3 linked regions of the Lepisosteus oculatus genome follow. The protein of the gene in region 2 purifies or fractionates together with the protein of the main gene of each other region. This does not show direct contact. Links are inferred from orthologs where the notes say so. Each region holds a gene or a part of one and is shown on either strand. Other genes may lie near its edges.

What was found. The genes of interacting proteins can lie anywhere in the genome.
Region 1: the proteins of edc4 (region 2) and edc3 purify together in Homo sapiens (affinity purification with mass spectrometry; 6 studies listed by BioGRID and IntAct, with this or other methods). This does not show direct contact. The link is inferred for Lepisosteus oculatus from reciprocal best matches to the Homo sapiens genes EDC4 and EDC3.
Region 3: the proteins of edc4 (region 2) and xrn1 purify together in Homo sapiens (co-immunoprecipitation; 4 studies listed by BioGRID and IntAct, with this or other methods). This does not show direct contact. The link is inferred for Lepisosteus oculatus from reciprocal best matches to the Homo sapiens genes EDC4 and XRN1.

Annotation. Positions count from the first base shown.
Region 1 is NC_090700.1:56,696,011-56,702,953, forward strand, and holds the start of edc3 (enhancer of mRNA-decapping protein 3), read right to left. Parts: upstream 3,009-6,943; 5' UTR 2,867-3,008; intron 2,475-2,866; exon of another isoform or gene 1,630-2,474; intron 1,355-1,629; 5' UTR 1,349-1,354; coding exon 1,185-1,348; intron 1-1,184. Other genes in the region: cyp1a (cytochrome P450 1A1), read right to left, coding at 6,058-6,352, 6,938-6,943. UniProt on the Homo sapiens protein: Binds single-stranded RNA. Involved in the process of mRNA degradation and in the positive regulation of mRNA decapping. May play a role in spermiogenesis and oogenesis.
Region 2 is NC_090715.1:3,978,625-3,985,467, reverse strand, and holds the start of edc4 (enhancer of mRNA-decapping protein 4), read right to left. Parts: upstream 3,017-6,843; 5' UTR 2,816-3,016; coding exon 2,731-2,815; intron 1,878-2,730; coding exon 1,724-1,877; intron 1,106-1,723; coding exon 994-1,105; intron 892-993; coding exon 792-891; intron 135-791; coding exon 1-134. UniProt on the Homo sapiens protein: In the process of mRNA degradation, seems to play a role in mRNA decapping. Component of a complex containing DCP2 and DCP1A which functions in decapping of ARE-containing mRNAs. Promotes complex formation between DCP1A and DCP2.
Region 3 is NC_090708.1:15,748,360-15,755,191, reverse strand, and holds the start of xrn1 (5'-3' exoribonuclease 1), read right to left. Parts: upstream 3,009-6,832; 5' UTR 2,703-3,008; coding exon 2,628-2,702; intron 1,963-2,627; coding exon 1,730-1,962; intron 1,628-1,729; coding exon 1,530-1,627; intron 1,421-1,529; coding exon 1,311-1,420; intron 1,179-1,310; coding exon 1,068-1,178; intron 703-1,067; coding exon 617-702; intron 529-616; coding exon 441-528; intron 1-440. Other genes in the region: serine/threonine-protein kinase ATR, read right to left, coding at 4,442-4,615, 4,832-4,937, 5,038-5,189, 5,815-5,968, 6,067-6,223. UniProt on the Homo sapiens protein: Major 5'-3' exoribonuclease involved in mRNA decay. Required for the 5'-3'-processing of the G4 tetraplex-containing DNA and RNA substrates. The kinetic of hydrolysis is faster for G4 RNA tetraplex than for G4 DNA tetraplex and monomeric RNA tetraplex.

The DNA.
Region 1 (6,943 bases), on a different chromosome or scaffold from region 2:
GGTGTGGGGAGAACCACCTGCAACTGAATGTAGCAAAGACTAAGGAGTTGGTGATACACTTCAGGAGGAAGAGGGTCCAACCTACTCCTGTCTACATCCATGGGAGTGGTCTAAGAAGGGTCAGAGCCGACTTTACTTCTTGAGGAGGCTCAGGTCCTTCAATGTGTGTAGTAAAATGCTACATCTGTTCTATCAGTCGGTGGTAGGGAGCGTCATTTTCTACATGGTGGTATGCTGGGGCTCTGGGATTAGAGCAGTGGATTCTAAAAGGCTGAACAAGCTCATCAGGAGAGCAAGCTCTGTCATTGGGTCTGGCCTGGACCCCCTGGAGGTAGTGACCGAGAGGAGAATGGTGTCCAAACTAGAGGCCATCATGGACAACGTCTCCCATCCCCTCTATGACAGGCTTGCAGAAATGAAGAGCACGTTCAGCAATAGACTGATCCATCTACGGTGCGACAGGGAGCGCTACAGGAGGTCATTCTTGCCTTCTGCCATAAGACTGTACGACGCATCCACCTTGCGTCTGGGCAGAGGCAACATTGACAGTGACGTTTCTGGACTGAACAGTAAACTGATACATCTGTTCTTTTTCTTTTCCCGTTTAAAACTGTTTTTGTGCAATATATGCCAGGGACCTGAGCAATACATTTATATTTATAATCATATTGTGCAATACGACTTTTTTGTGTACTGTTCTGTTCTTTGTGTGTTCTGGACTGTGAGTAACTCTTCTTAGTGCACTTCGCACTGTACTGATTGTATTGTATTATTATTATTGTATCATTCGTTACACTGTGTCTGTGTTGTCTGTGTTAAGCTGCTGTTGCACTCCAATTTCCCTCAAGGGATCAATAAAGTATCTAAAATACAGATAATTCAGATTAAAATCATCCCGCTTTTTCCAAACAGAAATAATCAAAAATTCATATTTAGGTTCAGAAAAGAATCCAATGTTGTTAAAAAATGTCAATGAAATGAATGTAAGAATTTAACAAAATAAGGAAATTCGTCAAGGATTTTTGGAAACATTGTCTGCTCTTAAGTTTACATAATGGCAGTAGATCATAATGGAAACGTACAAGTGAGAAAGAGACTAACACTGAAGTTAAATATTGTGTAAGCTCCTTTTGATTGAAACCTGAGTGAAAAGTAGTCTGAGACAATGCCTCCTGGAACCTCACCTAAAGGTGACTTCAGGCACCGGGCACTTGATCCCATTGTGAAAGGGCTGTCTGAGGGAGATGGTCTGGCTGGCCTGGTCCACAGCAGACACCTCTCCCTGGTACATCCCCAGCGTCTCCCCACAGTTAATGGACACCAGGCTCCCCAGCCAGTCCGCCGCCATCCTGGCCTGCAACACAACAAGTGGCTTTTCATCCAACTGTCGGAGCTTCTGTGCATCGTGCACTACAGAACTGAACCCAAAACAGTATTCCTGTTAAACAAATGGTCTTAAACACGGGAACTTAATTTGTCACAGTAGTTACAATACAGAATATATATAGTTGCCTACCATATCGTAGGCAACCTGAAAGTTTTATAAGTGTCTTGTCAGCAGAGTTGCTCTATCAAGCACGTTCCCCTGGATCTCTAATTTTCTTGGTGCAGCATCTTATTTTCTCTTACCTGTGGGAGGTTAATGAAGCAGCCTGATGCCAGAATACTGAGAGCAGGTAACAAATGCAATGCAAAGTTCCACTCAGAGTTCCCTGGGTGTTATAAAGGTCCAAACACACACTCCGCCCCCAGAACATTTTTTGGATTTAATCATATTACACTGTATACCATGCTTAAACTTCACTCTGAATTCTCCCTGCACTTCATACACCTCACAATTTAAATAAAACCAAAATCGCCAACAATCACTTCAAACAACACAGAGGCAGGTGCCTGGGGTTGCAGCTAAGGCTCTGGACTCCAGACCAGTCTTGGTTTCTCAGGTGAAGCTCTGCCTTCGCACCTGCAACCCTTCCACGTCCCTCGCACTGCCCCAGTAAATCCCCTGCTGTATAAACAGGTTTCTGCATGGTCAATGTAAATCAGAATGATCTCTATTGAATTTAACAGGTGAAAAATAAAAAAAAACAGTGAAGTACTAAACAAAACAATCATTACTTTTGTTTTGCAACTAAATGCACCAAACATGATTTTCTTAATCTAAAGGGAAAAAATGCAAAATCGTATCCACTGGATTCGAGTTTTATGTTGGTGGTGAAGAGACTGCATCCAGAACTGGGTTGATTCTTGACTGCTTACCCATGTTCGAAAGAATCCTCTAAACTCCCTTGCAAAGGGTTTCAGCAATAGCAGCCTCCGAGTGTACAAGACAACAGAAGATTGCTGTATCCACTATTGTACTGCAAGACCATATAACCATCAGTTTACCACATGCACCCCCGAGTCCAACAAACCCTCATATTCTTATACTGCATATTAGGACTACAAAAGTTTACAACACAATTGTATTGATGTACATGTGCATTGCTTGACGTACTGCTTCAGCATCACGCAAATGTTTTGCCTGGAGATATTTAAACCTTTTATTTAAAAAAAAAACTCAACTTTCTTATACTACTATGAAGAGGAGTTGCCGAGAGAAGGGCCTTCACATCAGCGAGCAGGACTAAAACACGGACCTGGTAAATAAACCAAGGAACAGACGGGACTGTTCCTGACTAAACTGCGTGTATATGTCAATAGTTGAAAATTGAATGTAGTCAACCAGGGCTCACTACAGCATTAAAACTTTACGTTGTGTGCTACTACTACACAGCTCGTGAGTCCTATGGCTACGTCTTTCCATTTTAACCACAAAAGACCATAACTCTAACCCATGTTCTAAAATAAAAAACAGACGAAATACCTGCTTTTTGCTCCTCTCAAAAACAAATGAATACAAATCTGCGTTTAACTGAAATATAAATTCTATTCTGTATGTTTCCAGACCCCGAAGGCTCCGCTTTAATAAGCACCACAGTTCTTCTCCCGCTGCGGGTCACTTCCCGAAGGCCTCTCTGCGACTGTGTACGTCACTTCCTGCGAGTCCTGTCCTTTCCAGTCATTGGCTGAAAGAGACAGGCTGCTCGCGTGGGGATGAATTCTGTAATTTCGGTAGTAACTATTCCTGCATCTGTTCTTTGCGTCTGCACACAGACTGTGTTCTCAGGGATGTGAGCCGTCTGTAGCTAGATGCTACTGAAAGCTAGCCACCTGACTTCATGGGCCCTCCAGATAAACATTTCCCATGTTTTTGACCACTGAAATAGGCATACGAACAAAGAGAATATTTGTTGATCAAAGGGATCAAATATAGATGAGAAAAAATGTGGTATATACTCTTATAAAATGTATGCAGTATGAGTTTAAGAAGATACTTTATAGAATGCATAGGCTACATGGAATAAGAAATTTGGTTCAAGTGTCGTGCGGGAAGCAAGTCGAAAAAACGTACACACTTTTAAACTCTGTGATATTATGCATTTATTCTGTTTTACGGTTACCGAACTATTTTCTCTACTGTAGCAGAATAAAATAAAAATGATCAACAAATCTCGCATCAAATGAGAAAGACTGACGTTTCTTTTTCTCGTATTGAAATAATTCTTTGGTTAGAAACAGTTTTTGAAATGTTGGTGCGTCTTTACGTGTTGGAGGACAGAAACCCGTGATGATCTGTCACATTGAAGGCTGAGAATATGGAACAGGATATGAAATGAAACCACTCGGAAGGGTAGAGAGAAGACACACAGCCCAACACAACTTCATGTCAAATTATCTGTAAATGGTTAGTGTTCTGCTGAAAGATTCAGAATACAAAACACGTTCCCCTTTGTTTTAAAGTTTGAAAAATCTAATTTAATTGGCGTGAAATACAAATGTTATAGGACACGATTTCTAGGTTTACACCGTGATATGATTCAGGTATTCAAATGGATGGTGCCGAGAAAGAAATATTTAAAGCTAGGGAAATATGGCTGAAATGGAGTAATAAAGAAATTAAGAAAAAAAGACAGCTCACACTACAAATTACATTAAGAAACCTGAGGTTAAAAATAAATGAACTTAATGCACAAATCAAAAAGTGACACTGACAAGAATATTGCATCAGAAGAATGTAAATATTTGTACATGCTATAAAACGAACTGTAAACATTGGAATATATAGTTGAGATCATATGGGTCTGATATTAGAAGATGCAATATAGTTTATGTGCTAGATTAAATATTTAAATGTGAAAATGTTGACTGTCACATTTGAGAATGAAAATGCAAGTCAAAATGTATTTAACTAACCTATTTAGTATCAGTGCTACACAATATAATTGTATGTCTATAAAAATAAGAAATAAAAAAGACCGGGTTCATGTTCAAAAGGTTTATTATTTCCATCCAATTTATTACTTTATCCCATTTATTATCTCACAGAGATTAAATGTTTTTAAAAAAACAGGAACTCCTCTTATACATGCTGTAAGCTTGATACATGAATGAGAGAAAATAGCTTGATATAAGCAAGCACAAACCAAAATCATTTAAAAAGAAATTACCATAACTTGCATATATTTTGTTCTACAAGATCAGCGTAACTGCAACAGCTTGGAAAAAGGTCCTTCATGATTGCGTAATAAAATTCACAGATACACCTGTTAACAATACAAATGGCTGTACAATTGGCTAGAATATGTTTTTAGACAGAAAATAATAAAAGCTATTTTTAAGTCAATAAGGTACAGTATAATTCAGTCCCTCATCCCACAATTTGTTACATGTACAAAAACTGATATTTTGTTCAGGACCTGTAAAAGCCCTTAAATAGGTAAGTGTTGTTTGGTTAAGTACACTGTCACATTCTGGGATAAATGCCCCTCCTGGCAGACAAAGCATCAATATGTTACTCCACATATAAATATATGGCAAAAAAGACGAGAGACCTCAAACCTGGGATGGCTAGTGTGACACTTGTGGTCAATATTGAATCTTTCACAAATAACTCTACATTCTACATATACAGGTTAAAAAAAAAAAGATTTGTTCGAAAGGCGCCTAAGACACAAAGTATATTTCCTATACAGTGTCCATTGTTTCTGGGGCTTAACTTTGAGTTGTATACAATTACAGACAACCGAATAACAAAGCTCTTCCACATCACCAGAACAGGTTACAAACCGGTGTAAAGGCAAAAAGCAAATCACGTGCCATAAATCTGCGTTTGGATACAAGTAGCAAAACGTATTCAACTAAATAAAGAATACAATGAAAATCCATTTGCAACTTTGATTTAAGACCTAAATTCAGATTAAAAACTGAAAATATCCCCTTACCTATCATAACAAGAGGAATAAGACAACAACATTGAAACTGGTGCAAAGCAGTTTTAGAAATGCGCACAAACTGGAAGCTTTTGATCTGAGGCAGCACAGAACTCTTTTGATGAGTTATTTCTGATAAAGGAGCAAAACCCAAATAAGAGATTTACAGCAATTCCTACAAAGCTAAAAATCCCTAGTTTCAACATTTAAATATCAGAGTAATAATAACAGATGGGTTCCATTTTATACACTTTTGAAGGCAGACATCTGTTTTTAATTTTATTTTTCCCCATCAGTTCTACCTGATGGAACCACTCATATACAGAATGAGATAAGTCACTACAAACTGATCAGCCATCTCTGAAGTCAGCTTTCACACATTCTTACAGACCTCCTGCTGTACTGAAACTATAAAGTTATTTTTCTTTTGAGAACTGGTTTGGAAGTTCAGATTCAAGTCAACTGGAGCTTCAGTTAGAATTAATTCTCACACAGTTGCTTGCAATTACATTTTGGCTTTTCTTTTGAAAAGCAGCCCTTTACAATTTAAGAAATCTGTTGTGTACTTTGTATTGGCTTCTTCTGGCATTCTAGTCTCAAGTCGAAGACACATAGCTCCTGTTTGAAAGCCAGACCGCTGCGTCAGCAGCTCAACGCTATCAACCTCCAGGAACAGCTAGACACGGAACAGCCATCGCTCCCAGCGCGGCGAGGTGCACTGCGGGCTCCACGGCCGCCAAGGAGCTCACTCCGCGCGCACTCTCAGGCTGGCACGCAGGTGGCAGCGCTTGTGCTTCATGGTGAGGCCGTACTCGGGCGTCATGTCCAGCTCGTGGTCGGGGAGGCTGTGGAATGTGAGCTTCTGCAGGAGGATGGCCAGGAAGAGGAAGACCTCGGAGCGCCCGATGGACTCCCCAATGCAGCGCCGCTTGCCCATCCCGAACACCATCACCTTCTCCGCCTCCATCTTGTTCACAGTCATGCCCTCAGCGTCCAGGAAGCGCTCTGGGCTGAAGGAGGAGGGGTCCTTCCACGTGATTCTAATGAAAGAAAAAACAGGCTCAACTTGAAACAGGGCAGCCAACTTACTTTTCTGAATGGATTTAAAGGGTGATGCACTACCAGCTTTTCATAGCATTTCACTTCTGTGCTACTTTTGTCCTGTATGTTCTGTGTCCTGAAGACCCGGCAAAAGGCTTGAAATTGTAGATTACTAAAGAAGTAATTTTGATGCCTACATTAGCACACTTGACCTGGACCTTTAAATAATCGAGACTGCCTTCACAAAGTTTCCTTAAAAATCATCTTGCACATTGTTCTTGTTGTCGCAGCAGGTGAAATTGTACCTGGTTCTAAGTCCCAGAGTTTGAACAGTTTGGTTTTATTTAAAGCTGTGCTGAATGAATACCTGTATTAGACAACCTCTGCCAAAACCATAGAAATAACTGTTTTATGTCAATTATGGAAATCCAACTAGAAGTGCTTGCAGATATTATTTAGCTGTTCAGTTCATTAAAAATAATGTTTATAATGCTGATTAAGATTACTTTTGTTCTACTTAAATATCTTAAAAATCCAATAGCAAAGGCCTTCAGGTATGGTCCACTGCAGAAAGCCACACTCACGGGTCA
Region 2 (6,843 bases):
GTCCACGCAGGCGAGCTGGGTGGAGTTGAGGTGAGCAAAGGCCAGGTCTGTGACAGCCCCCGTGAATCCTTTGAGAAGCGTGCGCTCGGCCGTGCTCAGCGACAGCACTCGGATCATGGGGTAATTGTTTGCACCTGCGCACAGATAAAACAGAATAACGTGCTAAAATATGCCAAGCGCTGGCAGGTGGCGTGACCTTTGAAACTAGACCTGGAATTAAACTCAACATCAAATTTAGAGTTCACCTGCGTTGCCATTCGCGGGTTTAAAAACAGATCCTACTGAACACTTCATAGCTCCTCCCAATTCCATGCTATGCAAATCTCAAACTCCCGATGATCTGTAGATACGGCTCGGAAAGGTTCTTGCATGTGTTTAAAAGGGAAATGAAGAATTATACTAGGAGGGCGGGTGTTAAACATTCAAAACACACATAAAAGGCACCCACAGATTACCCGCAACATTCAAACCCAAATGCAAACCAGGCTAGGACTTTGTATTTTTTGTAGTTTTAAGAGTACGGCAGAGGGCATGTTTATTACGGAACACTTAAGTCCAAAAGTGTCAAAAGGTCTTTACTATAGCAAGACTAACGGCAGGGCATATTTATACACAATCACTGTTTATTGAACACACTGCATAGTAACCAAGCAACAAAGCCACACCGCCTCAACTGTTTCCAAACAGTTTTCAGAAGCAGTCTGGCAATGCCTGCTGGACAGGCACATACTGCACTGCAAGTACAGAAACCATCACTTTACCAAGAAGGGGGGAAAGAAAGCACTTCTCACCTCTAATGGCATAGGCAAGGAAACTGTTGGACACCGCTATCAGGTTGCCATAATAGTACTTGTGTTCCCAGTCATACTTTGCAATAGGCTGGATTTTGACCTGCAAGAGAACGAGTCTAAATGAAACCCCAAAGTCCAGCCCTTTGGACAGAAGGCCTGGGCTGCAGCTTCTTCTTGCCATAAACACACAGACATGATTTACCTTGTTGCTGCCCCTGGCTTTGCTGTTGATGCTGGAGTCATGGCTTGCCACGACCTCCACATCCCCAGATGAAATGACAATACAGGTTGAACTGTCATCTCCTGAGAGGCAGCTGTCAGACAAAAACAAAACTGGTGGACTTAGTAACCTAAGAAAAAAGACCATTTAGGTAGCAGCACTTTAAAGCACAAATGTTGCAGAGACAAAATATCAACAAAGCCACTCTTTCTAGCACTCTGGGTGATGTGATAGTTTTAATAGCCATGCCCACTGCCTAAATAAGTGCACATTGCACATTAAATGTTTGACAAAAGAGGCGACAGGAAACTTGCATTCATCTACAGTTGTTGAAGTAAAACCAATCAGCTTATCCCATTATCAAATAAAAGAATCACTCCTTGTACTGCTCTGTGCAAGGAGCAGATTTAAAACTTTGTACAGGAATTACCGCAATCAGTATTAAACTTGGGACTTGCACATGTATTATAAAACGGCTAACTGCTCACACAAAAGGCAGCAGCTGTTTTGTTTCTCATACTTTGATAACATTATCCTAAAGCAGTAACGATTGCCTTCAGTGGCTGCATCAGGACTCTTTGCTAAACGTTCTCTAGATTCGAAGTCAAATAGGTAAGCAATGCACTTTCGGTTTTACATTCCCATAAGCATTCATTCCTTTTGATTAAGGAAGTGATCATGGTTATCGAAGCAACCCATCCCCATCCCCTACATGGTCTGTCTCTCGTGCGAGCTCATGCTCTCCGGGTTGTGCGCAGTGGGCTCGCCCAGGGTAGCTCGGTCACCCGCGGCTACGAAGTCAGCGCCAAACAGGCCATTGAGCTCCCCGTTGAAAGACCTCTTTGGGTTCTCAGTCGAAGAGGTATCTGGTGGGAGGGGAGGAAAGTCTTGTCGTGAGGACAATGCAACAGACCGATAAAAAAAAAAACCCAAACAAGGATCACGCACAGAAATGCATTTTACTTCTTTGTGTAAGCCCAGCAGAGAAAACTAGAGAACAATTCGGAGTGAGCCCTTTAAATAAACTTGGAAGTTCAAAGGGCTCACGGATTTTGAGGGATACGTAGAGAATGCATATTTTCTTGCAAAACTGTTCTTTTTGAACTACATCTGAATTTTATGTAACATCTGACATGCGCGCTCAGCGCAACGCCCGTTCCCGTTGGGAAACGCGTCGCAAAAAAAAAAAACAACAGTCGCACTTGTTACAACTGAATTTCGCGACTTTTGGAGTCTCAGTCCACACGAAACGGAGCAGAAGAAAAGACACGAAAACTTCAGTCGCGGGTTTCTCCCGTTCGGTCAGGTTTGAAAACAGCGGAGTGAACCTCGGAAAACTCCTCCCTTCTCGTACACCCCCTCTCCGCCTCAAAATCACCACCTCTCGGCGTGTTCTGCATTTTCTTCTGGACCCTCAATTGCAACAACTTCTCAAATCTCTCGAATATATATTTTTTCCCACCCGTGAAGCTGACAATTTAACGTCGTTTTGTTCTCCTCTTCTGTTACGCGTTCCCGGGCAACACAAAATGCGCAAAAGGGTTGAGTTTACTGCTGGTCGCTAGAAACACCTTATCGTTTTGCATTTTGTGTTTGAACTTCGGCTTCACTTCTCGGTGTATCTCCGTATCTTTTCCGCATCCCTGTAACTAACACCCCCCTTCTGCGGCCTAGCGAATCTTGCAGGCCTCTCCCGGCTCGCCTCCCCACGGCACTCACCGCTAATCCCGGGTCGGGCCAGCTTCAAGATGTCCCGAAGATGCTGGGTCGCGTCCTCTATATCTATATTGGAGTTAGAAGCCATAAGGGAGGGAAAGGGGGAGGTAGCGGGCGGATAAACGACAGGCAAACCCTTTACTTTCTTAAAATGTTGTATCGATACTGTTCTGTTTCGTCAAAGTGATCGCTTGCCCCAGATTCCGTTTTCTGCTGGTCGTGAAAAACCAGCAACCGCCTCAACTTCCGTTCTGCGCTCACCGTAATTCCGTCCCTGCTGCCAGGGAAACCGCGGACTCGCTCACGCGTTCCTGCGCAGCACTCGACCAGATCTTTGGAAACAAAACTATGATGTTCGTATTGTAATAGATCCGTAAGCCGTGTTAGGGAAAAAAAAGGTTTATAGTTACTTTTTACAAGCATTTCAAATTTCCCTTAGCGACTTGAAAGCGGCAGTATTTGTCTGCTGAGCGGAATAAATTCAGGCATTCGTCGTTTTCCTTCACTGTGGGTGTTTGTAAAGTACGATATTAATTTAAAATGTATTAGTCCGCGGAAGGAAGACCTTCACCTCAATTCCACGGTGTGACATTGTCAGTAACAACAGATCAGTGAAGTTGCTTTGCATCGTGCATGTGATGTGCCTCAACAAAGCACGCAGCTTTGTTGGCATTTGCGTAGGAAAGCCTCCTAAGACAGTGCTGATAAAAAAGAACCAGGGTGTCGTTTCTAAATTTACCAGAAAGCAGAATTTGTTTTCTGCAGGATTAACTACACCGTGTGTGCTATGCAAGAGTTTTCTGCCAGGCATTCAATCAGTTGATAAACTTGCTTGTATAGCCCTTGTTTAAACAGTTACATGCAATATATTGAAAAAATAAATAAAATGACGTTCAAATCTTTGGTTTAACTTGAAGTAAACGTGTATTTGTTTTACATGGATAAATTCAAAGTATATTTTGGAACTAGAAAATGGCCAGTAGTTCTGAAATCTTCCACACAATTGTGTCCCCGTTTTAACAGTGGGAGCGAACTGCAGATAAACCAGGGGGAAACAGAATAAGGAAACCTTGTCAGGCTGGGAGCCTTTCGATAGGGTTTGGCCAGTTTTTGAGGAATGGCAGTTCCTGGCACAAAGTGTGCTTTGCCAAGATGGTAATAATAATAATTCCTTACACTTATATAGCGCCTTTCTGGATACTCCACTCAAAGCGCTTTACAGGTAATGGGGATCCCCTCCACCACCACCACCAGTGTGCAGCCCCACCTGGATGATGTGACGGCAGCCATAGTGCGCCAGAACACTCCCCACACACCAGCTCTCACTAGGGAGGAGAGCAGAGTGATTGAGCCAGTTCAGAGATGGGGGATTACTAAGAGGCCATGATTGGTAAAGGCCAGGGGAAAACTGGGCCAGGACACCCCTACTCTTTTCGAGAAACGCCCTGGGATGACCACAGAGAGTCAGGAGCTCGGTTTTACATCTCATCCGAAGGACAGCGCCTTTTTATAGTATAGTGTCCCTGTCACTATACTGGGGCATTAGGACCCACACAGGGTGAGTGTCCTCTACTGGTACCACTAACACCTCTTCCAGCAGCAGCCTTAGCTTTCCCAGGAGTCACCTATCCTGGTACTGACCAGGCTCACACCTGCTGAGCTCCAGTGAGCTGCAGGGTGATATGGCTGCTGGCAAATAACGTATTGTGGGTCCAAAAGGTACAAAGTCATTATATTTCATGTAGGAAACCCATTTCACTATGAATGTTAACTATATCACCACTTGAGTGATACCTACCAAGGTTGGAGTGAACTGGCTAACCAGCCTTTGAACAGGAACAGTAATGTTGGGAATTATTTGGTGATTTAATTGTTAAACATTAGGAGTTACTGTAAGTGTCATGGTCTGTATATGTACAAGAATGAAAAATGACAGGCAGCTATCTTGGTCCTATAAATACACCCATAACATTTGGAAATAATTGGCCAAAGAAATTTGGATGAAGATTTTGCGTGTGTCATGTTTCAGTTGGTGCAGCGAAAAAAAGGTAACAGCTTACCTGTCTTAGTATGCCTGTTTAGTATGATGTTGCTAGCGCGCCTGGTCTCTGTACACGAGCAGTTTCAAAAGGGAAAATGGTCAAACATTTACAACCAGTTCAAACTATAACTATACAGTTACACACCACTTACAGGCCTAGTAAAAGGTGTACCAGTTCCATCTGCACAGATGGCCTATACAAACATGTAGTGACAACAGACGCCACTAGAGGTCTCTAGTGGGAGGTGGACTAATACAATTGGACATTTGTAACAGTGCGGTGGATTGAGACGAGAATGCGAATGTAACGAGCGTGAGATCATCACTAAACGTTTCCACAGAGCTGAGTCCGAGCGACACGGAGGCTTCATATGAACGTTTTTTTCCAAGTAGGAGCCGTGTGTAAAATCAATGGATTGATTTCAGCATTGTCATTACGAATGGCAAACCTCGGTGAAAACCAGAACGAGCATACGACAGCATTTAACAAAAACTACAGTCTTTGATAGTATTCTGCCAAGTGCACTTATGCAATACATTTGCATGTTTAGCTAATGCTATCATGCTCATTACAACAGTCATAAAGAGGAATCATATTAGCCTTTGTAATTTAAGCCCACTACACTTAAAACAATTGTCATGTTTCAGTGTACCCCAAACCTTGGGCAACACAGTTGTCGGGAAAAAAACTAAATTCATGGGCTTGTGTGGTGTACGGATTATTCTTAATAGCTGGGGTGTTGTGCTGAAGTTGTCAGAATTACAATTAAAACACTTTAATTGGGTTTCCTTTCAGTTTTTTATTTCCTTCACTAACATGTGGCCACAGAACCCCTTCCATTTAAAGAAACAGTAACTGAACCCATGTAATGGCTTATTACAGTCAAGTCCCTATGTCTTTTAAACTACCCTTTGTACCACAATGCCATTAACTCCCAGTGTATATGAAGCTAGCAATGAGATCCAGTCCAGAATAATTCAGTTTGTATTTCTCCTCCCTCAGTTGTGCAAAAAGGTTAACAAAACAACAGGAAAAAAAAAAGCATTTCTCCCACAAAAGCATGGACAAACAGGTGAACCCTGTAGCGCTGAAGGCCGAGACCATCCTTCTGCTTTTCGTGTGACATTTTTTTCGGGGGGAAAAGCCTCACCCTGGCACGGAACGGAGTGCCCTCAGTTCTTATTTCACTACTTTAACACACCACCTGGCCCACAGGGCACTTCAGTCTGTTGGTATGAAGAGCAAACTACAAGTCGCTAGGTAAGGACAACGCAGAAACATGAGGAACAGGACTAACTGGGGTGGAGCTGTGGAAAATGAAATGAACTTTAACTGGAGCAGTTAGTCTTGTCCTCCTCAGGAAAAATCTTCAGGTACCAGCGGCTCTTTCGTTCGTGGTGGCATTGGCCGGAAAAGCAGAGCTCACTCCCCGGCTCTTCGGCAGTTTGATTTCTAGGCGGCCGGGGGCTGATCGAAGCCGCCCCCCGATCACGGCTCGCGTCTTGAGAGGTTTAGGAAGGCGTGGCTGCCGGGGGGGAAGGGGACCCAGATGTCCGTGGATCTCTATCTCTTTGTGAAAAGAAACCGGTCTCTGCGCTGCACGATCAAACAGTTAAACAGGGCGGAGGCGTGCGAGGAGAGGGCAAAAACAAGGCCAAAGCGACAATACTGAGATGACAGGAGGAAAGATGGGAAGATTCCATGATTAACAAAAAAAATGGCAAGGTTTTATTGTGCATGTGGCTTCAGTAATCATGGCTGCGCAGAACGGACAGACCCAGGAATACTAATGGGATTAGGGAACGGTCGGGTGGGGGGTACCCTGACCGCACACATTGGCTAAGTTTCAGATCTTTGGATCGCTAGAGCAACCTGTCCGTACAATGACGGAGAAAAGTAAAAGTTTAGGGAATAATAAAAAAAAAAGAACAGGCCTGGTGTGTACTTGATTCTCTAAGGCATGCTGGTAACAACGCACACTGGGACTGGGGAAAGAGGACCGAGAGGGGGGAGGACTGGAAGAGAAGAGGCCAGGGGGCTGTGACCGGAGACGGCTGGCTTCCAAACATCACGC
Region 3 (6,832 bases), on a different chromosome or scaffold from region 2:
CAGTTGAGGAATTAAGAAATTACTTCACCAGTTAAATTAAATGGAGGCCTTCAGGTAGGCCAGACTGGAGTAAACGACTCACCCCTGTGAACAGTGCCATGGGATTTTATTTAAAGTAGCCAGGACTTTGGTTTAACGTCTCATCAAAAGGACAACTGATCAATATAATTGTAAACTGGTTTGGAATATTCTGGCCAAATGGATGGATTTAGACCCTGCCTTGTTTACCCTCCATACTTATGAGACCAGAATACAGAGTGGCAAGACTGCTGTCAAAGATATCCTTAAATAAACTTTTGCAATTCCAGTTTCAAATAAAAAAAATAAATGAAGCTCTTCTAAATATGCTATGGAAATGCATCACAACGAGCAACCAATATTTTAAAATAATATACTGTGTATATTTCCAAGGTGAAAATAATGAGTTTATTATTACTTACCCGCAGCTCTGAAAATTCATAGTCGATGTACTCTCTCATCAGGGACAAGTGCAACAAGTGAAATGTTGTCTCTTCAGGTGTACTTATTCTATATAAAACAAAACACGCATAAGTGTCAAAAAGAGAAGGAGCAACATGAAATTCAAATATTAAATGGCACTGACTTATGCACTTGCCTTTTCTGTGACTTTTTACCACCAAAACGAACTTCTTCTCTCAAAAGAGAGAAGTGAGGTTCATGGCTTGTCAACCCAAGCATTATCTACATGGAAGAAGGAAAAAGAAAATGGTATAAATATTTAGCCAGCAGGTAAGAAAAAGTTACTTTAATTCTACTGGAAACATTTATAATTATTTTGCTCTGACATTTCATAACAGCTCTTAGGTTTACATTTTGGGAAGACCTTATACTACAATCTCAGTCTGTTAATGAGGGAGGTTTAGTGACAACTAAAGGTACTCATGATAGTTTTATTAGCATCCTAAAATTATTTAATAAGCACTTTTATAACGAAAGTTGTTCAATCCCGTAGTTCAATTTTTTTTAAAGGCAACACCTTTAAATGCTTAAAAGTCATGTACAATCAAATGAAAATGCATGCATTTTTCAAACTAAAAAATACATACCAGATCAGCATCCAAACCATAAAGACAGTGCCTGGTATTGGGGTCATGGTCTGGCCTGGCATTTTCTGACCGAATGAATTCCATGATTTTGTGTTCTCCTTCTCCAGGGGTCTGTACAGTAAATAAATAGCAGATTTGTGATCATAATACCTAGCATGGAAAACTCTCGAGACTGCAGAGGTACACCGGAACATAAATCACATCACGTATCGAATTACTCTGTTTCTCTATTTAATTATATACCTCATGACCGGAGAGGTAAACTCGCACCCTCTGCCATGATTTTTCTGTGGATATTTTGTTATGCACAAAATACTCCAGCTGCTCCTGGAGTCTGGCCATAAATTCTGTTCCTAAAAAAAAAAAGAGAAAAGGCATTTGAGGGGTACAGTACAAACATGTCAGAAAACAAGGCAAAAGATGAGCGAGGTGTCAACATAGCCCCAGCTGTGTAGTAGCTACCTGGAGTAATGCAGTTGGAGTCAAATCTAGCCTCTGTAGGAAGAACTTCTCCTTTCTCTAGGGCCTTCTTAATTTTATCTTCAGCTTCTTTTGCTGACCTTCAAATAAAACAAAAAAATAAAAACACTGCCCATAAAGTATCAACCTCCCAGACAGACTACCTTTGAATCCGTGGTACACGAAACAAACCGTGTTGTTACCTAAAGCGCCTTCCGCGCTGTTGGTTCATTTTTGCGCGAGGAGCCACTCCATCCACGGCCATGAAGAAGACCTTTCTCGGCTTAATGATACGAAACAGCACTTCCAGATAGTGAAAAATGTCGGCAAATATTTTCTCTTCTGAGATTCGGAAGTGCACGTCTTCATCATTGGGGTGGGAGCACTGATGAATAATGCCATTCATGTCCAAGTACAGGTTGTCAAATTCAGGAATCTGAAGCAAGGGACAGAAACAGACTGCCTTTAGCCTCTACCGGGCAATAAAGCAACATTAAGTCGGTCGCCTGCGCCTCAAAGTGAACTGCAACAATGTCGCTGTTTCGGCTGTAAAGTCTACGAGAGTGCGCTCTTAAATGAAGCTTTAAATATAAAAACTAATTTACAATATTTCCCAAAGCAAAATAAACCAACGTGTTAGCCGCCCTGGATAGAAGCTAAAAATAATAAATACATAGAAAAGGCGACCTCTGTAACGAGAGAAAGAGATAAGAATATCGTTTAGATGTATTGACTACAAATGCAACTATGAGGATTATTACTGGTTCTGTTCGCAGCAACAGGACAAAATTACATATTGAGCATGTTTTTACAAATCAAGTAAAACTGCTGTTGTCAGGGAGATACTAAAACCAAAATGTCTTATATTTATTGTATCTACTGTATTCAATTGCAGATGTTTCCGCTCATAAAACAACTTTAAAAAACAATTGCTTCTTAATGACAACAGTCATTTATGCGGTCTAAACTAAACAGAAAATGAAAACTCATACTGAAGCTCAATTATTTTATAGAAAAAATAAACAGACAGAGCTATGCAATTAAATCAGAATCAGAAGGAAGGGTTGTATGGTGTAACTCGTAAGGCCTATATATTCTTACCTGATGTTCCTTAACAACTTCACTCAAACAAGGGTATCTCTCCGAAATCCATCGGTAAAATTTCGGTACACCCATCCTTACCACAACCTCGTCCCGAGAGATTAAAAAAAAATGAATTGCAGTGTTGCAGTAAAAGTTTATATTCCTACGGAGGCCAGTTTTTATTTTTGCTTCTATGCCAGCGGGGAAGTGCGGACGGTCAATTCGAAATTGCTGTGACGTAAGACTGATATGGATACAGTACAATGCTAAAATAACAATTCATCAATTTCCACTAAAAGACTTGTAACGAAATTTCATTTTTTTCCTAATCTTTCGCCAAGATTAAATAAAGCAAGAGCTTTTTGTTCAAACGTTAAATTGTTTCCCTTTCTTATTATTTGTCCGACAAATAATCAGTCCCGGACTGCTTCGACTCACAGTAAAGGTTCCTATGGACTTTAAAACTGTCAATTACTGCCGTTGTGAGATTGTTAAATCTGCGGCGGCGGAGGAATAATAAATAAAAGTAATAAAACCAGTGCTAAATAAAATAAATATTAAGGTCATATTTAATCAAACACGGTGGATTAACAGTCCTTAAAACCGCAGACGACAATACAGTGGCTAGGATTGTCCACATTAGGACAAATAAAACTGCTGATGCGTGTCAGACGATGGGGTAAAGTAAGGCATTCAACAGAGGATAAAATCTAGAACCCCTTAGAATTCGGGTGTTAGAATGACAAAGGGCAACACCTGCACTATTCCGGAAAAGACGGCTCAACCTCGCCATCTCGTCAAAAAGACTGTGTGATACTGTTCGGTTTACTGAAAGTGAACTTTATTACACATACTTTGACCAATTGGGCTAGTATTTTGCCCGCACCAGTTCAACACAACGATGCCGAGTGATTAGCGATTTATTAACTGTATTTTTCGTGATTGAAGTTTTGCCATGTTCAACAAAGTGGATGTCAGTTGAATGGTAACGTTTTAGTGTTTCTGTTAAAGGAACGCGGATGTCAGTTGAATGATTTTTTAGAGAATGTTCCTGTTAAATTAAAATTATAGTAACAATAGTAACATCTTAGAAATGCATTTTGAGATAAACATTTAAGATGCCTTTGTAGTATTTCATTTTTCGACCTTCACTGGAGAATAGAAAATCTGTTACATAACTGGAATAAGAAGGCCAGAATTAAACTGCACTTAGTCAAACGTCGTGTCTGTATAATAACAGAACTTATCCAGGAGATACGGGATATTTCATGAAGTCCTTCAAAAAGTGATGAGGGGGAAATTCATTCAGGAAGGCTTTGGAGGGACTATTGTTATAAGAAAGTTTTGGTAATTTGTGTGGAGCACTAGATTACACTAATTTAAAAAAGAACAGGTTTTCAGTAAATAAAATCAAAAGATAATGTTACTTTTCTGCTAAAAGATTTTTTAAACATGTACATCTCTCAAGAAGTTCACCACAAGAATCCAAGACAGTGTTTACAACTTGTTGAGATTTTTCAATGTCTCTCTGAGCTACAGTATGTCTCAAACCCAGACAATACTTCAAAAGAAAGAGCTAAAGATCTTAGTTAAGAAATCAGATCTGAAATTAAGGGAGGTGCTTTGAAAATTTTTATAGAACTCTTTTATTATTGTGGTTATAATGTAACACGTGAATTTACATAACAGAAATAATGTCAATAATTTCCAAACAGATTTGAACACCGCAAAGAAATGAACACGCCAGTAGAAACATAAATGTTTTTAATAAAAGAAAGTGAGGAATGAATTTGCCCTGAATAATAAGTGCTTATTTGAGACACCAAACATGGTCACAGGTAGGGAGCCCAGCCCAGGTACATGAGACAAAGCAGTTTCTCATTTGTGGCTTCATCGATGAGGTAGTGAACATGGCCTTCAATGGATAGAGGCAAACCCATCACCTTGTTCCTGTTCTTGATAACCCCCTGCAGCCTCTGCTCTATATCAAGGACATGGGTCTTCGCCTACAGAAAACAAAGAGCAAATGTCAACAGTGCAGGTATTTCCAAGATGCTACCACTCGACAATTCTGTCAGAGAAAGTTCAGGTATTGCTGTGTACAGGAAATACAATAGACAATTCAGTGATTGCGTTTGACACCTGTCAAATTCATTCACCCTGGCTTGAAACAGGAATTCAGAATACAACATCACATCACAGTTGTCTGTGAAACGGCATACCTTTTCATTAAGGATTTCTCCGGATTCATTGACGTGGGCTTTTGTACCTCCCTTAACAGGTTTACTCCACTCCACCAACGGATCATGAAGGAAGGTCTTCAAGACACTAAGAAGTTGGAAAGAAACGAGCACAAAGTTCAAACACTGTACTTCATGAATGGAGATTACTCAATGTGTGTAAACCCACAGAGGGAGGAGGTTCCTACCTCATTAACGGCTCCCTCTGATCCCGCATTAGTCGGAGGGTGACCTCACAGGCTTGGCGGAACAGACCCTCAGTTCCCATGGGGCCCATGGCGTGAACCATATTCTGTGTCAGTCGGAAAGGCACTACTTCTGGGACTTCAAATGTTTCACCCTATCACGGAAAAGAAAAGGCTCAAAATTCCCTGCATGCACAAAATGAGCACCTAAAACACGGTTATTCATTGATGTCATTCCTTTTTTCCTTATTGTATAGGGGTTCCCAACCTCCCAATAAGGACAAGCAACATTAGCAGTAAATCAGATTGAAACAAAGAATATAAATTATTCCCTGAAATATATTTGCTGAAAGAAACTGGGCTTAATAACACCTTAAAAACCTTTATAACAAACCTATGCAAAGGACAAAAGTTTGTCTTTAAGGCCTTTGAAGGATTTAAGAATAGAGGAATATGGCTCAGGTGTCACCACTTGATTGTAACAGAATTCCAATTGGAACATACTTCACAAATGAGGGGAGACCATATAGCTAGGTTGGTTTTCTATCACTAGGGGGTTTGAGGATGTTTTGGTGAAAGAAACTTCGGTACTATCTTTGACAGCCCATCTGGGTAGTTTGTTGCAGATGTCTAGCGTATCCACTCCATTTTAAAAGCAATTCCCTTATTTTTGTCTGTGCAGCATTCAGAGGTTGAAGTCATGAGCCAAGTCTTACAAGGCAGGTGCCAGATTGGGTGGGTATATGATAAAAACACACCTGAGGTAATATGCGCACACACCTTATTAAAGAGACAGTTGAAGTCCACATGCACACATTCTCCTGTTAAAGAGTCAAACAGGATGTTTTCTCCATGTCGATCCCCAAGTCCCAGGATGTAGCCCACCATTGACATCACAGCAATGGAGCGGCAATATGCAGATCTACTGCTGTACCTGTAACGAGACACCGTTCCAGGAACTTGCGTTACATTAAAGTGATACGGTTTCCCTCAAATTGTTTGAACAATTTAAACAGATGGAATGGTACAAACCATGAAGTAGGATCAGGGAACGTTCTAAGGAACCACTCATAAAAGACTGGAGGGTGTCGGGGAACGAGAACATTTTTGTGCAGTTTCAATTTTTCCATAAAGGGGGCAGATTTTGGCAACATGTACTTGCGTAACTCCTTTCCACTTAAGTAAATGCCTGAGGAAAAGCAGATCATTAAAATATTTAAGTGAGAAAGAAGAAAATAAGTTAAGGTGAAAGTCTATCATCATTCACATGGGTACTAATAAACTGCAAAATACAGTATGTCATAATATGAAGACCATAAAGATTTTCAAGTCTAAATGTCAATGGTGGTTTACTCATTAGTTTCTCTTCTCAATACATATTTCAGAATTTCCCCTTTAAAAATGTTTAAAATGAGATAATTTTCCTGATACACCCAAATGCCTTTTTTTCAATTCTAGCTTCAGAATCAAATATTTTCTCTTCCCATTTAGTCCCATCTAACTATATAACAATGTAAATATGCAACCATCTAACCATGCACCATGTAATAGCATGACTTTTTAAAATAGTGTTATGTTACACAGATCTAATCATATAAACAAACATCACAGTGTTATGTACAGGTTTTTGATGCAAACTGACTTCTGAAATTATAAGTGTATTCCATGAATTGGCACAATTATAGTCTACATTTATTTTAAATCACTTACAGTATGTGTCAGTTTCCACAATCTAAATTTAAGCATCACTTTTGATTTGCATTACTTCTGAAATAACACATGACTGAGCACGTCCTCA